Linked DNA regions of Anolis sagrei. The protein of the gene in region 1 interacts with the protein of each later gene in a pairwise test. Links are inferred from orthologs where the notes say so. Each region holds a gene or a part of one and is shown on either strand. Other genes may lie near its edges.

Region 1 (6,855 bases):
TTTCCTGTGAGACATTTTAGCTTTCATTAGGTAATCAGGACTCAGAGTCCTGAAGTTAAGTAAAACCATCTCCTTCCCATTTGGAGTCATAATGTTTATAAAGACAACTTGGGCATTTTCCTTAATTCACCTGAAACAAGTTGGGTTGTGAAAATTATGTCCTTTTTCTGTGCTTCTGGAGTGAAAAAGGTTCTGGACTGGTTTCCATGAGAATGGCAGTTGAGGCGGTTAGGCTTCGTGTCTTATATGTAAACTGAGACATTACAAGATTCAATCAGACAGGAGTATATTAATTAAACAGCACCACAGAAGGGTAAATGTGGGCAAAGAATGGATAATGTCAGCCATCAAATATCCGCAAGAGGAAAAGAGTGAGCAATGAATTTACCTCCGCTGAAAGGAAACCACTGAAGCACAGGAAGGAAAACCTGAATGGCACTCATCTCCAAAGTTTAATTTTAAAGAATTGGTTGTTTTACTTGTTATTATTGTGTGCTTTCAATTTGTTTCTGACTTGTGATAGCCTTCAGGCAAACCTATAATCAGGCATGTAGCTGCGGGGGGGGGGGGGGGGGGGGGGCTTGAGGGGCTTCACTAAATTCTCATGTTGGTCTGCGAGAAGGCCTTACTGGTATATTATTCAAACTGTTATGTTTATTCATATCATGATCTGATCACTATGCTCAATATATCTCATATGCATGGGGGTATTGGGGTAACGATACAAAAAGTTTGCTAGGGTAGACCCTCTTTCACTCAGACTCAGCCCCCCCCCACCCCGAATCAAACTCAGCCCCCCCCCCCCCCCCCGAATCAAAATCCTGGCTACGGGCCTGCCTGTCATGGTCTTTTGGTAATACTCGTTCAGATTGGGCTGAGAGCATGTGACTTACACAAAATCATCTAGTGGGGATTTGATCTCCAGAGTCACAGAAGAATTAATGTAGTTTGGCCAATGCTATGCAGTCATGGGATTTCTTGTTTGGTCTCCAGCTTCACAAATTGCATCTGCTCAGAAGAATTAATGCAGGTTGGTACCACTGTAACTGCCATGGATCAATGCTATGGAGTCATGGGATTTCTGGTTTGGTCTCCAGCATCGCAAATTGCATCTGCTCAGAATTAATGTAGCTATGATTCAATACTATGGAATCATGAGAGTTGTAATTTTACAACTTTAGCAACACAAGGAGCCCCCAGTGATGCAGTGGGTTAAACTGCTGAGCTGCTCAGCTTGTTGACCGAAAGGTTACAGGTTCAAATCCGGTAAGTGGCGTGAGCTTCCACTGTCAGCCCCAACTTCTGCCAACTAAGCAGTTTGAAAACATGCAAATGTGAGTAGATAAATAGGAACCATTCTGGCGGGAAGGTAAAGGCGCTCCGTGTAGTCATGCCAGCCACATGACTTTGGAGGCATCTACAGACAATGTCGGCTCTTCGGCTTAGAAATGGAGATGTGCACCAACCCCCAGAGTTGGACACGACTGGATTTAATGTCAGGGGAAACCCCTTATCTACCACATCAAACAGTGCTGTCGTCCCACCAAACCACAAATGCTAGGATTCTATAGCATTGAGCCATGGCAGTTAAAGTGGTATCAAAAAGTATTAATTGTGCCTGTCTTCCCAAGAGATTTGCAGGATTTTCCAGAGGCAGCACTGATGGAATTGTTCCAGGAGTTGCATGTGATGTCTGTAGAGAGTCCACGTTTCGTAGGCGTATAACAGGGTTGGGAGGACAATCTACCTATATATAAATGCTCTGTGAATAATGAGTACCTTAAAAACAAAAAAAAACTACAGGGCCAAATGACCCCAAATTTGGCAACAAAATTTCTCACAATCCAAGGAGTGACCATCACTGAAAAAAAACCCCACAAAACACCTTTAAATTAAAAAAAGGAAGAAGACAACACACCTCCCCTGCCCCCCTCACGCTGAGAACACAGAATGAGGGTTCCAAAGCAGCAGGGGTGGCAATGGTTGCTGCTCCCTGTGTGTCTCTCAGCCCCTAACTAACACTAAGGCAAAGGATCAAAGGGCAGAAGCTGAGGAGAAGGAGGAGGGGAGGAGGAGAGAGAGGGGGGAAGGAAAAAAGAGGGAGGCATGCCACACTCTGTGCACACATTCTGACTCTGTCTCCCACACACACACTTCCAAAGGAAAAGGGAAGGAGGAAGGTGCCATTTTGCCCTCCATTCATGCCTCTTCAAATTCTACAGCTACACACGAAACTGACATTGCTTGGAAAGGAGCTCTAAAGACCATCCAGCCCAACCTCATTTGGCAGTAAAGGAAGACACCATCAAAGCCCTCATAACAGATGACCAACCAGTTGGAAGGGAGCCCTAAAGGCCATCAGGTCCAACCCCTTCCTTCCCTCCCTTCCCTACTTCCCTTCCTTCTCCTTACCTCCCTTCCCTTCCTCCCTTTCTTTCCTTCCTTTTCTCCTCCCCTCACCAGCTTCATTCTCCTTTATTAAATCAACAGTGTAGATGCACCCAAAGTCAGACCAAGGAGTGACCATCACTCATAAAAACACTGAAAAACACAGCAGAAGACTTAAAAAGCCAAAAAATAAAAAATACATTACAACGCATGTGCAAAACCACATATATAAATGCAAACACACACATATACACAAATATACATGCACACAATACATACATATGTACACACACACACAACACATATACACAGATTGGGCCACAGCAACGCATGGCAGGCGACAGCTAGTACTATATAATATAATGTTACTACTATATAATACTATATTAAATAGACTCATAGAATAGACTTAGAAGAGACTCTACCATGGTATTGAGCGAGAAGAGACAGGAAGGAAGGAGAGAAGAAAGGAGGAAGGGAAAAGGGGAAGGAATGAAGGAGGGAAAGGGGGAAGGAAGGAAAGAGAGAAGGAAGGAGAGAAGGAAGGAAAGAAAGGTGCTGAAGGAAGGAAGAAGAGAAAGTAGTAAGGAAAGAAAAAGGGAAGGGGGGGGAAGGAAAGAGGTAAAGAAGGAAGGAAGGAGAAAAGGAAATAAAAAGTGAAAGAAGGATGGAAACAGGGAGGGAAGAAAGGAGACAAAGGAAGTAGAGAAAGGAGGGAAGGGAGGAAACCAAAGAGTGAAAGAAGGAATGAAAGAAAGAGGTAGAGAAGGAAGAAAGGAGAGAAAAGGGAAGAAAAAGGGGGAAGGAATAGGTAGGTACCTCTCTTTCATAACAGTCCAGATATCTACCTCTACTTCGAAAATTCTTACTATAGGCCACAGCAATGCGTGGCAGGGTACAGCTAGTAGCTTTATAGACAAGCACCTTGGTATCCCTACTGATGTCCCGGTCCTCAAACACTCTCTGCTTCATTCGGAAAAAAGCTGCACTCGCAGAGCTCAGGCGGTGTTGTATTTCGGTGTCAATGTTGACTTTGGTGGAAAGGTGGCTGCCAAGGTATTGGAAATGGTCAACATTTTCTAATGTTACACCATTAAGCTGTATTTCTGGCATTGGAGAGTGATTGGCTGGTGACTGCTGGAAGAGCACTTTGGTTTTCTCGATGTTCAATGGAGGAAAGCAGTGTGTGTGTTTGTGTGTATGTGTTTTCGTTCCCCACGCTGCCTTCCCCATTTTGCAAAGTTACGTTACCGAGGAAGAGGCAAGCCCTGGGTTCCTGGGCATGCACTCTATTTGGTTTCCTTGCGGGGGAACTGCGGAGGGGGGCTCGGCTCGCCTTCCCCTCCGCCTTCCCTATTATAGCCCCGCTTCCGGCGGCGTGGACCACTCTGACATCATCCCCCGCACCCCGGTGACGTCAGCGCCGGGAGCGGAGTGGGTGACGCCGGGTGCGTAGGGGAGCGTGGTGACGTCTCCTTACTTAAAGGTCCCCCGAGCGGAGGATGGAGGCAGAGGAAGCAGGTGCTCCTGACAGCGTCGCTGTGGAGTAGAGCCAGGCACAGAGAACGACAGGCAGAGAGACAGAGAGAGGGGGAGCGTTGAGCGGCGCAGCCTCTCGGGACCAGCAGGGCTCCCCTTCCAGCCTTAGCCCCTGCCTTTCCCCGCGGTGGGTGGGAGAGAGGGAGGAGGAGGAGGAGGAAACGGGCAGCTAGCTTGGGCGCCCCTTCCAGCCTCGCTGCCCCTGCCTTCCTCTCCCCGCGGTGGGAGAGGGCCGAGAAGCGGAGGGCAAGAGCCGGAGAGGAGCGGGAGAAGGCAGAGCCGAGCAAGGAAGGTGTGAAGAAGAGGAGGAGCAGGAGCAGGCGCCACGGGTTGACCCCGGGCTCTGCACAGCGAGCGGGAAAGGCGCCTCCTCCTCCTCTGCCTGCGCCTCCGCCTTCCCCCTGCCCTCTCCGCAGCGGATTTGGCCCTTCTGCTGCTGCTTCGGTGCCACTCCTCCTCCTCCTCTCCTTCTCTTCTTCCCCTTCCTCCCTCTAATCCTCTTCCTTCTCTTCCTCCTCCCCCTTCTCTTCCTCCTTCTCCTTTCCTCCCCTCCTCTTCTTCTCCTCCTCATCGTCCTCCCCCCCTCTTGTCCTCTTCCTTCCCCTCTCCTCCTTCTCTTCCTCCTCTCGTCCTCCTTCTCCTCTTCCTCTCCTCCTTCTCTTCCTCTCCCTCCTCTTCGTCCTTCTCCTCCTCCTTCTCCTTTTCCTCCTCTCTTCCTCCTTCTCCTCTTCCTCCTCCTCCTTTTCCTCCTCCTCCTCTTCTTCCTCCTCCTCCTCCTTCTCCTCCTCCTCCCTTTCTGCTGGGAATGATGAATGTGCGCCTGCCTCCTTCCCCGTCCGAGCAGATGGCAGACCCACTGCGGGGACAGGCGTGAATGAAGCAGGCGACGCCGGGATAAGGAGCCGCCTCCTCCTCCTCCTCTTCCCTTTTCCTCCTCCCCTTTTTCCTCCTCCTCCTCCCCCAGTGTAGCCTTCCCCACTCGTCCCTCCATCCATCCCTGGCGCAGGGGATGAGCGGCTAGTGCCTTGCAGCCGCCGCCGCTTCTCTCTCTTTTCCTCCCGGAGCCCGATGTCAGCGCCGGCGGAACGGCTTCCTTTTCCTCTTCCTCCCTCTGCTGCCGCTGCTGCTGCTGCTCCTGCCTGGGAAAATGAAGCGACACCCCCCATGCCGCTGCTGCTGGTGCTGGCGGGGGTGTTAGGAGGAGGAGGAGGAAGAAGAAGAAGGGCGGCGCTGCGCACACCGCAAGCCCCCGGATCCCGCGCTGCGCCGGAGGAAAGGCGGCGGCGGTGGTGGAGGAGGAGAAGGAGCGCCTCCCGGGCCAGAGGACTGACTGACTGACTGCCTGGCTAGCTGGCTGACTGCTGGAGGCAGCATCTGGGCTGCTAATCCTCGCCGATAAGAAGAGAGAGCAGGAGCGCGCCTCTCCTCCTCCTCCTCCTTCTCCCCGCAGAAGGAGGGGATTTCTTCCTCCTCCTCTTCCTCCTCCTCCTCCTTGGCGAGGAGCTGGAGCTGCCCCTGGACCCCACGCTGCAGGACAAGGCAGGGGCAGCCCCGAGGCCATGGGGGAGAGGCTTCCCGGACTGGCTTCCTAGTAGGCACCGAAAGAGAGAGAGAGCGAGAGCCTTCCTTCCTTCTTTCCTTCCTTCCTTCTCCCCCTGGCTCCGCTCCCACATGCCTGTAGACTCTAGCGTTTGAAAAGCCTGCCTCCGAGGCGCGTGGGGCCACCTGGGTTTCGCGTGGGATCTATAGAGACAGACACACCACGGCAGAAGGCGAGAAGAGGAGTGTCCGCGTTGCTCACCGGACCATTGAGTGGGAAAGGCCAGAGGACGGGGAAAAAACCAAAAGATCCTTGTAGGAATTATCCATCCAAAACACTCACAACGCTCGTCTCACTGGCCATCATGGGGTAAGGATTTCTTCCTGGGATCGGGGAGTTTTGAGCCCAGCACGTCCACTCTCTTTCCTTCCTTCTTTCCTTGCCATGCCCGTCTTTGGAAGAAGGCAGGCCAGACCATTAAAGGGCGCCCAGGAGGAGGAAGGAGTATGGTTAACTGGGGAAGCTATAGATTAACTTCAGAATGTCTCCCAAACGTCTTGCTAGGCCAGCAGCACTGAGATATGTGACAGCACCAATGAATCCCATTTCCCATTAAGGTTTGGGCATGGCTAATCTTAAATACTACTGGATAGTTTGAACCACGAGCCAGAAAACATTTGGGTTGCTGTGAGTTTCCTCCAAACTGTATGCCCATATTCCAGAAGCATGCTCTCCTGACGTTTTGGCCAAATCTATGGCAGGTATCCTCATAGATTGTGAGGTATATTGGAAACTAGGCAAGTGAGGTTTATATATCTGTGGAAGGTCCAGGGTGGGAGAAAGAACTCTTGTCTGCTTGAGGCAAGTGTGAATGTTGCAATTGGCCACCTTGACTAGCATTGAATGGCCTTACAGCTTCAAAGCCTGGCTGCTTCCTGTCTGGGGTTTATATATCTGTGGAATGTTCAGGGTGGGAGAAAGAACTCTTGCCTGTTGGAGGCAAGTGTGAATGTTGCATTTGGCCACCTTGACTAGCATTGAATGGCCTTACAGCTTCAAAGCCTGGCTGCTTCCTGTCTGGGGTTTATATATCTGTAGAATGATGTCCAGGGTGGGAGAAAGAACTCTTGTCTGTTTGAAGCAAGTGTGAATGTTGCATTTGGCCTTGACTAGCCATGAATGGCCTTACAGCTTCAAAGCCTGCCTGCTTCCTGCCTGGGGTTTATATATTTGTGGAAGGTCCAGGGTGGGAGAAAGAACTCATGTCTGTTTGAGGCAAGTGTGAATGTTGCATTTGGCTACTTTGATTAGCATTTAATGGCTTCACAGCTTCAAAGCCTGCCTGCTTCCTGCCTGGGGTTTATATATTTGTGGAAGATCCAGAGTGG
Region 2 (7,700 bases), on another chromosome or scaffold:
TCAGCAACAAATTATGCAGAAGAACAACATGCCAAATGAAGGTGGTGCCTGCGAACACTCATGAAATACCTGAGAAGCCAGAAGAAAGGAACTGTTGTACCTGAAAATAGTGGCAGCTTGCTTCTCTGTTTGAAGTACCTGGCAGTCTCTCAAGTTGGAATGATCAGAAAGAACTGCCTTGTTTCATGAATCCATTGTTCTTCGTTGCCTAGATGATCTTTCCAACCGGCATGGGTTGCAACGTCTGCTTCACCACTGCAATGTCATTATATATGTTTCCTGTGTTTAATATTACTTGGGATGGAGAGAGAGCAACAGGCTGAGAGAACTGGCGAAAAACAAAGTAAGGCTGCATCTACATTGTAGAATGAATGCAGTTTGACACCAATTTAAGTGCCATGGCTCAATGCTATGAAATCCTAGGCATTTTAGTTTGGTGAGGTACCAGCATTTTTGGGTAGATAAAGCTAAAGACCTTATAAAACTATAACCCTCAGGATTCCATTGCATTGAGCCATGGCAGTTAAAACAGTGCCAAACTGCATTCATTCTATGGTATATATCAGGGGTGTCAAAATCATTTTTACCAAGGGTCACATCAGTCTTATGGTTGCTTTCGAAGAGCCACCGTATATAAATGTAACTATTTGCCTGGCATTGAAAGCCTCACAGGTCACATAAAATGATGCAGAGGGCTGGATTCAGCCTGTGGGCCTTACGTTTGATAATGTGGTATAGATGCAACCCAAATGTGTCCGCGATCTCCCAGGGAAGGCTATGTGTTACCAATGGGATGGATCTAAAAAAATAATTAACTGCTATTGTAAATAACACATAATGGAATTGAATTACAGCTCATCACAACTTTATTTTAATTTCAATATGTAAGTCTTTAGGTTTCTTGGACTGAATGCAGGTTTAGGCATACTTACAAATAAGTCTCACAGAGTTAAATGCATCTTATTTCTAACTGAGTATAGCACTGTAGATTCAGGGAACTTCCAAGAGTTTCATTTTGGTCATCCTGTGTTGAATACACAATAGTGGCAACTTCAAATTGTAATTCTTTTGTGCTTTTCAACTGCTGATTCCATACAAAACTCATTAAGAAAGGAAAGAAAAAATAACTACTGTGCACAGTGTCTCGAACTTACTGAAATTCTAAAGGTCTGTTTGTTGGAGCCACAATTTTCTATTTAAATCACAATGGCAGTTCCACTGTTATTACAACTGAATTTTCTGCTACTGACATTACTTCCAGGCTTTCCGGCACTGTCCAGGATTTGTCCAGTCAACTAATGAGGAGGTACGATGGAAAAACAGTAAACTGCCCATTATTATTATATTCCTTCTACTGTCAGAAACAGATATGTCAGGATTTCTTTTTTTGCCTCAGATCCAGAATAATGTGACCAGTCTTATGTTCTCTAAAACTTGATACACAAATAGTGGTTGCATTTGTCACACCTCCTCAGCTGCAATATTTCTTGTGCTGGCCTTCATCATTAGTATTTCCAACTGTCTCCGTAAACAACGCTGAAGCACTGCATGGGTTGGGATTCAGTCCATTAACTGTGGCAATGTGATTGTATTATGTCACAGTATGGTTTCAGTTTCAGCCACATGATGTATCTTTAGGACCCAACCCAAGTTGGTTAATGAAGGAAATATCTGGAATGTGAGAGCTGATCCATATATCTAACTATAAGCCATTTTCTTATTATATTCCCATTACATTGCATTTTAGTGGTAAACGTTGCATTGAATCACAAGGAACTGTGTAAATCCTCTTCACATGCAAGATAGAGTTCTGTATCATGTGTAAGATTCAGTTCCATATCACATGAAGATCATCTTCTTCACTTTAGAATTTGGCCATCAAGCAAAGGAAAATTTTAAAAAGGTAAAGGTTTTCCCTAGACGTTAACCTTAGTTGAATCCAACTCTGGGGAGTGGTGCTCATCTCAATTTCTAAGCCGAAGAGCTGGTATTGTCTGTAGACGCCTCCAAGGTTATGTGGCTGGCATGACTGCATGGAGTGCCATTACCTTCCCGCCAAAGTGATACCTATTGATCTCACATTTCACTGTTTTCGAACTGCTAGGTTGGCAGAAGCTGAGGGTAACCACAAGAGCTCAGCCCATCCCACGGATTCAAACTGCCAGTCTTCTGGTCAGCAAGTTCTGCAACTTAGTGGTTTAACCCACTGAGCCATCACAGCCCCAAAGGAGAATACTAATATCTATATCCTAGAGAATAAGCTCACCACTGTGTTTGAACATAGTAGAATTAATGCCGCTTGATACCCCTTAAACTGGCATGACTAAATGGCATGCTATGGAATCATGGGAAAGGTAGTGTTACATGGTCTTTCTCCTTTCCTATTTAATAGTACTGGTGTTTCAACAAAATACAGCTCACACAATTCCATAGCATTGCTCCATGGCAGTTAAAACGGTGTCAAACGGCAATAATTCTGCAGTGTAGATGCACCTAAGCTCTCCTGCCCACAGCTATGAATTCAATCTTGCAATGAATGGTTATGAAAGTCTGTTTGTTCAATGATAATATTGGCTGGTTCCCAGGAACTTCACTAGTGCACAATGCAAGCTAAAGCTGCAGTCTATCAATTTGTAATGAGACTTCAAATAATGACATGTACATAGGATAGGTATGTAAGAACTGAAACTTTTCCAGATCCATATATGTCACCTGTCAGCTTCTGGCGACTGCATATATTTCATGGGGTTTTCTTTGGCAAGGAATAATCATGTAGTTTTGCTAGTTCTTTCCTCTGAAATATAGCACCTGGTATTCACTGGTGGTCTTCCACCCAAGTACTAGCCAAAGTTGATCCTTCTTAGCTTCCAAGATCAAACAAGAGCTGGTGCATTTGGGGTGTTTAGGTCCATATCCCACCATTTCATAGGTGAAAGTTGAGACTTGGCCAAGTAACATAAGAATGTGGTGAGGATGGCAAAAGTTATAAATGAGGAAGAATACATAATTCAGGAGAGGCTGTAGCAGTGCCTCTCCTTTTGCCTGAACCTACTGGGTGTGCATCTACACTGTAAAATGAATACAGTTTGACATATTAATTGTCATGATTCAATACTATGGAAATGTGGAAGTAGTAGTTTTACAAAGATTTTAGTCTTCTTTGCCAAATAGGGCTGATGCCTCATTAAGCTACAATTCGCAGGATTCCGTAGCATTGAGCATGGCAGTTAAAGTGATGTCAAACTGCATTAATTCTACAGTGTCCCTCTTTTGCATTTTAATTTGCATGAATTGGTATAAGCAGATGATAAAGTGGGGAACTGGAAGGAGGGGAGAGAAAACTGGAGCATTTTAAAAACAGCTGAAGAACTGAGATAGCAGAGAATTAATTAGGACTTTCCTTGCCAAATTAGAGTAATGTGAGGCTATACAAGCAGTGCTAAATGTGCACACTAGAATAAATACAAGCAGTCTTTACACTGTACATGTATAATAATTTCAGGGGTCATGATATTTCAATATTATTAAACTATAACTATAATCCCATTTACTAGTTATGATAGTTTCATGTGCATAAGGTGCCGTCCTATAACATAACAGACATAGTATTGCAACAGCCAGGTAACATTGCATATAGTAAAGGTAAATGTTTTCCCTCGACGTTAAGTCTAGTCCAATTCCAGGAGTTGGTGCTCATTTCCATTTCTAAGCCAAAGAGCCATTGTCCATAGACACATTCAAGGTCATGTGGCCAGCATGACCGCATGGAACACCGTTACTTTCCTGCCCCAAGGAGCCCCTAGTGGCGCAATGGGTTAAACCCTTGTGCTAGCAGGACTGAAGACCAACAGATCACAGGCTCAAATCCAAGGAGAGCGTGGATGAGCTCCCTCTGTTAGCTCCGGTTCCCCATGCAGGGACATGAGAGAACCCTCTCATAAGGATGGTAAAACATCAAAAACATTCCCTGGGCAACATCCTTGCAGACGGCCAATTCTCTCACACCAGAAGTGACTTGCAGTTTCTTAAGTCGCTCCTGACACACAAAAAAAACCAAAAATCTTCCTGCCAAGGCGGTACCTATTGATCTACTCACATTGGCTGTTTTTTAACTGCTAGGTTGGCAGAAGCTGGGGCTAACAGCGAGAGCTTACCTTGCTTCCCGGATTTGAACCGTCGACCTTTAGATCCACTGCGCCATTGAGGGTTCCACATTACATATAACCATTCTGGAAAAACTCTGGCACTACACAGCAAACTCTAATAGATCTGAAGTGTGTATGTATATATGAGAAGATCAGTTCCGTGTCCTTTTTTATGGGGACAAGCCCCAATGACCAAGGGAAATATACAACTGTCTTCCTAACAGATGTACATTTGGCAGATTTATTATTGTTGTCTTCCCCTCTTTCCTACTTCAGAGGGCAGCATCTTCTTTTAATTGCAAAAACATTTCACGTTAAGAAATGTACCTATGTAAGGGTGTGTCAGTGTGTTCATAGAAAATGTTTGCCTTTTTGCTCTACACTGAACTGACAAAACCTAGAACTGAGTAAAGCATTTGTCAGGAACTCCTTGATCTTGCCTCCTCCTCCTATGGAGAACAGCTGGAGTGAGGAGTTTAGGGGAGTGTATGTGATTGGTTCAGACTCAGCAGAAGGGTGGAGTGAAGAAAGATAGAGGAGGAATTTACCTGTCTAGGTAAGTCAGTGGGAGGTCAAGAAGAGCAGGGAGAAGGCGGTGTAGCTCGTTTCGTTGTTTGAGTACACAGCAAAATACTTGGAACTGTTTCCATTTCCTAATACAGGTGAGTTAAACTCTAACTCAACTATTTACTTAGGAGGGTAAATAGTCCCTGGATTTATAAGTACAAATACCTGGCGCTTGTGCAGTCCTGCCTTTATGTTGTCTCTCTCTCTCTGTGCTATCTTCCTTGGTTTTACTCTTCAAGACATCTTTGGGCTGAGGAAGGCTTATGGAAAGATTTACAGATCTTCCTTGTGAATGTAAGTCAAACATAGTGCAAAAGCCAGCTAGGGGAATCCTTGCTGGTCACAATCCTTGTTGCTTTAAAAAAGACTTCTAGGATTTAAACCAGTGCTTTAACAATAACTTCCTTTTCTTTGCTGTCTATTCAGAATTATGAATGAACAGCAGAAACTTGCTGCTGGAATAAGAAGAGCAGGCATTCGTTTTAAGAAATAGACATGTTTGCTTTTTAACATAATTCTCTTTTTTTATAAAATGCCTTTTTAGGTGTTGGGAAAGAAAGACTGCTGTTCAGACTCTAGTAACTGGAAAATTTGACTGAATCAACAATGGTTCAATCATAAATATTTTTTAATGTGTAATGGGAGTCGAATTTTGCTTCTTATCAGATAAATGCAGGCAATTGTGCATGTTTGTAATCTGATGTTAAGTAGCTGGGATTGTGCAGATGCATATTTGTAAAGGATATCAATCAGAGGTTTGTCTTTTATGTGTAGAGAAATTGCTGTTGTCTACAGTTAAGCTGTTGGTGCATGTATGGAAGAGGCTTTCCTTGCCTCTTTTTCTGATGTGTTTTGGTAGTTGAGGAATAACAACAATGTTACATTCTCTGTGGATAAATCTGGACAAGTGTGCCCAGACAATTTTCTATTAGTGTTTATTACATTGTTTCATTTTATGTATATATGGTATTCCATCTGAACATTAGGAAGAACTTCCTGACTGTGAGAGCCGTTCAGCAGTGGAACTCTCTGCCCCGGAGTGTGGTGGAGGCTCCTTCTTTGGAAGCTTTTAAGCAGAGGCTGGATGGCCATTTGTCAGGGGTGATTTGAATGCAATATTCCTGCTTCTTGGCAGGGGGTTGGACTGGATGGCCCATGAGGTCTCTTCCAACTCTTTGATTCTATGATTCTATGATATATAGGAGTATATAGGACACAAATTCTTACTTATTAGAGTTTTGAAAGACTTGATCACTGATTTCAGTTTCTAGGGAATTACTGTGTGATATATGGGACCCCACGGTGGTGCAGCATGTTAAACTGCTGAATTGATTAACTTGCTGACTAAAACGTTGGCAATTCGAATTCAGGGAGTGGCGTGAGCTCCTGCTGTTAGCCCCAGCTTTTGCCAATCTAGCAGTTCAAAAACATGCAAGTGTGAGTAAATCAATAGGTACTGCTCTGGTGGGAAGGTAATGGTGCTCCATGCAGTCATGCCGGCCACATGACCTTGAAGGTGTCTACGGACAACACCGGCTTTTCGGCTTAGAAATTGAGATGAGCACCCCCCCCCCCCCCCAAAGCATGCATGTGTGAGTAAATCAATAGGTACTGCTCCGGTGGGAAGGTAATGGCGCTCTATACAGTTATGCCAGCCACATGACCTTGAAGGTGTCTACAGACAACGCCGGCTTTTTGGCTTAGAAACTGAGATGAGCACCACCCTCCAGAGGCAGACTTAATGTCAGGGGAAAATTTTACCTTTACTTTTACCTATATGGTTCTATCTGCATAGCTATTTTGTGAAGCTTGAAATTGAAACAAGGCTATAAATCTCTGCTAAATACAGCAAGTTGCATGACAATTATTAGCAGTTATGGAGGAAACAGTGACGTGTCCTTCAGGCCTTATCACACTGCACTGTTATAGTGCTATTATTAAACAGCTATGGAAGCATTCAGAGGAATTCTTGAGTTTGTAATTTAAAATTTTAAAATCCTCTCTGGTTGGAAATTCTGAATGTCCCTCCCTCAACTGCAAATCCCAGGATTCCATAAAATGTTGCCATGGCAATTAAAGTGGAATACTAACACTGCAACATTGTAGTGTGATAGAGTCCTCCCTCCCGTCTTGGGACGCAATCCATTTTTGGAGCATGCACTACTTCAATAGCCCATATATTGCTTTGCTAGAGATGGTAGACAAACACATTTGTGTGCTTTATTCAGTTGTTTGCAGTGCAGTTATTAGCAATTTTTGGAGAAGTGCCTGAAGGTAGTCAATAGTTTTCAAAGATCCAACAAGTTTATTTATAATTAAGAGTTTGTTTTAATTGTAAAGTGACCCAAAGTGTTAAGAAATATATAAGAGACCTGGCACTATGGCTTGACAGCTATGTGAGACATCTCATTCCTTTTTGCTATCACAGAGAGCAAGTAAAAGTTGTAGGATTAAAGAGATGCTGTACTTCTCAGAGATTCAGAATTTATGCACAACATACCTCCTTTCTGTCTGTTCTGTCCTGTCTGCCCAAAGAGCATTGAATATTTGCCACGTATGTGTACTGTGATCCGCCTTGAGTCCCCTTGGGGAGATAGGGTGGAATATAAATAAAGTATTATTATTATTATTATTATTATTATTATTATTATTATGTAAGTCTGCCTTAAAATGTTTTGTAGTGTGCTAGAATCCACTTTAGTTGGAATTTGCATTATATATCTTAACTACTTCTACAGTCTAAGAAATGACTATTTCACATAATAAGTTGTTAGTAACTTTATTCATAATATTGGATCAAGTAGAAATTGGGACATAGTGTGATTTAATAACCATTGTATAAGACTAGGAGAAAATGAAGTGTAAATCCCCACTTGCCCATGAAGCTTGCTTGCTTGGTCACCTTGGACCAGTCATGAGCCCTAGACAAACCTGCATCGCGAAAATACATGGGAATGAGAGACTCGTGTGTTAAGTGATGACCCATTG

Evidence for each region.
Region 2: the proteins of HOMER1 (region 1) and C4H1orf116 interact in binary tests that used the Homo sapiens proteins (3 or more experiments, as listed by UniProt). The link is inferred for Anolis sagrei from reciprocal best matches to the Homo sapiens genes HOMER1 and C1orf116.

What each region holds. Positions count from the first base shown.
Region 1 is NC_090022.1:266,017,416-266,024,270, reverse strand, and holds the start of HOMER1 (homer protein homolog 1), read left to right. Parts: upstream 1-3,846; 5' UTR 3,847-5,831; coding exon 5,832-5,836; intron 5,837-6,855. UniProt on the Homo sapiens protein: Postsynaptic density scaffolding protein. Binds and cross-links cytoplasmic regions of GRM1, GRM5, ITPR1, DNM3, RYR1, RYR2, SHANK1 and SHANK3.
Region 2 is NC_090024.1:196,183,429-196,191,128, reverse strand, and holds the start of C4H1orf116 (specifically androgen-regulated gene protein), read left to right. Parts: upstream 1-4,694; 5' UTR 4,695-4,807; intron 4,808-4,882; exon of another isoform or gene 4,883-5,006; intron 5,007-7,700. UniProt on the Homo sapiens protein: Putative androgen-specific receptor.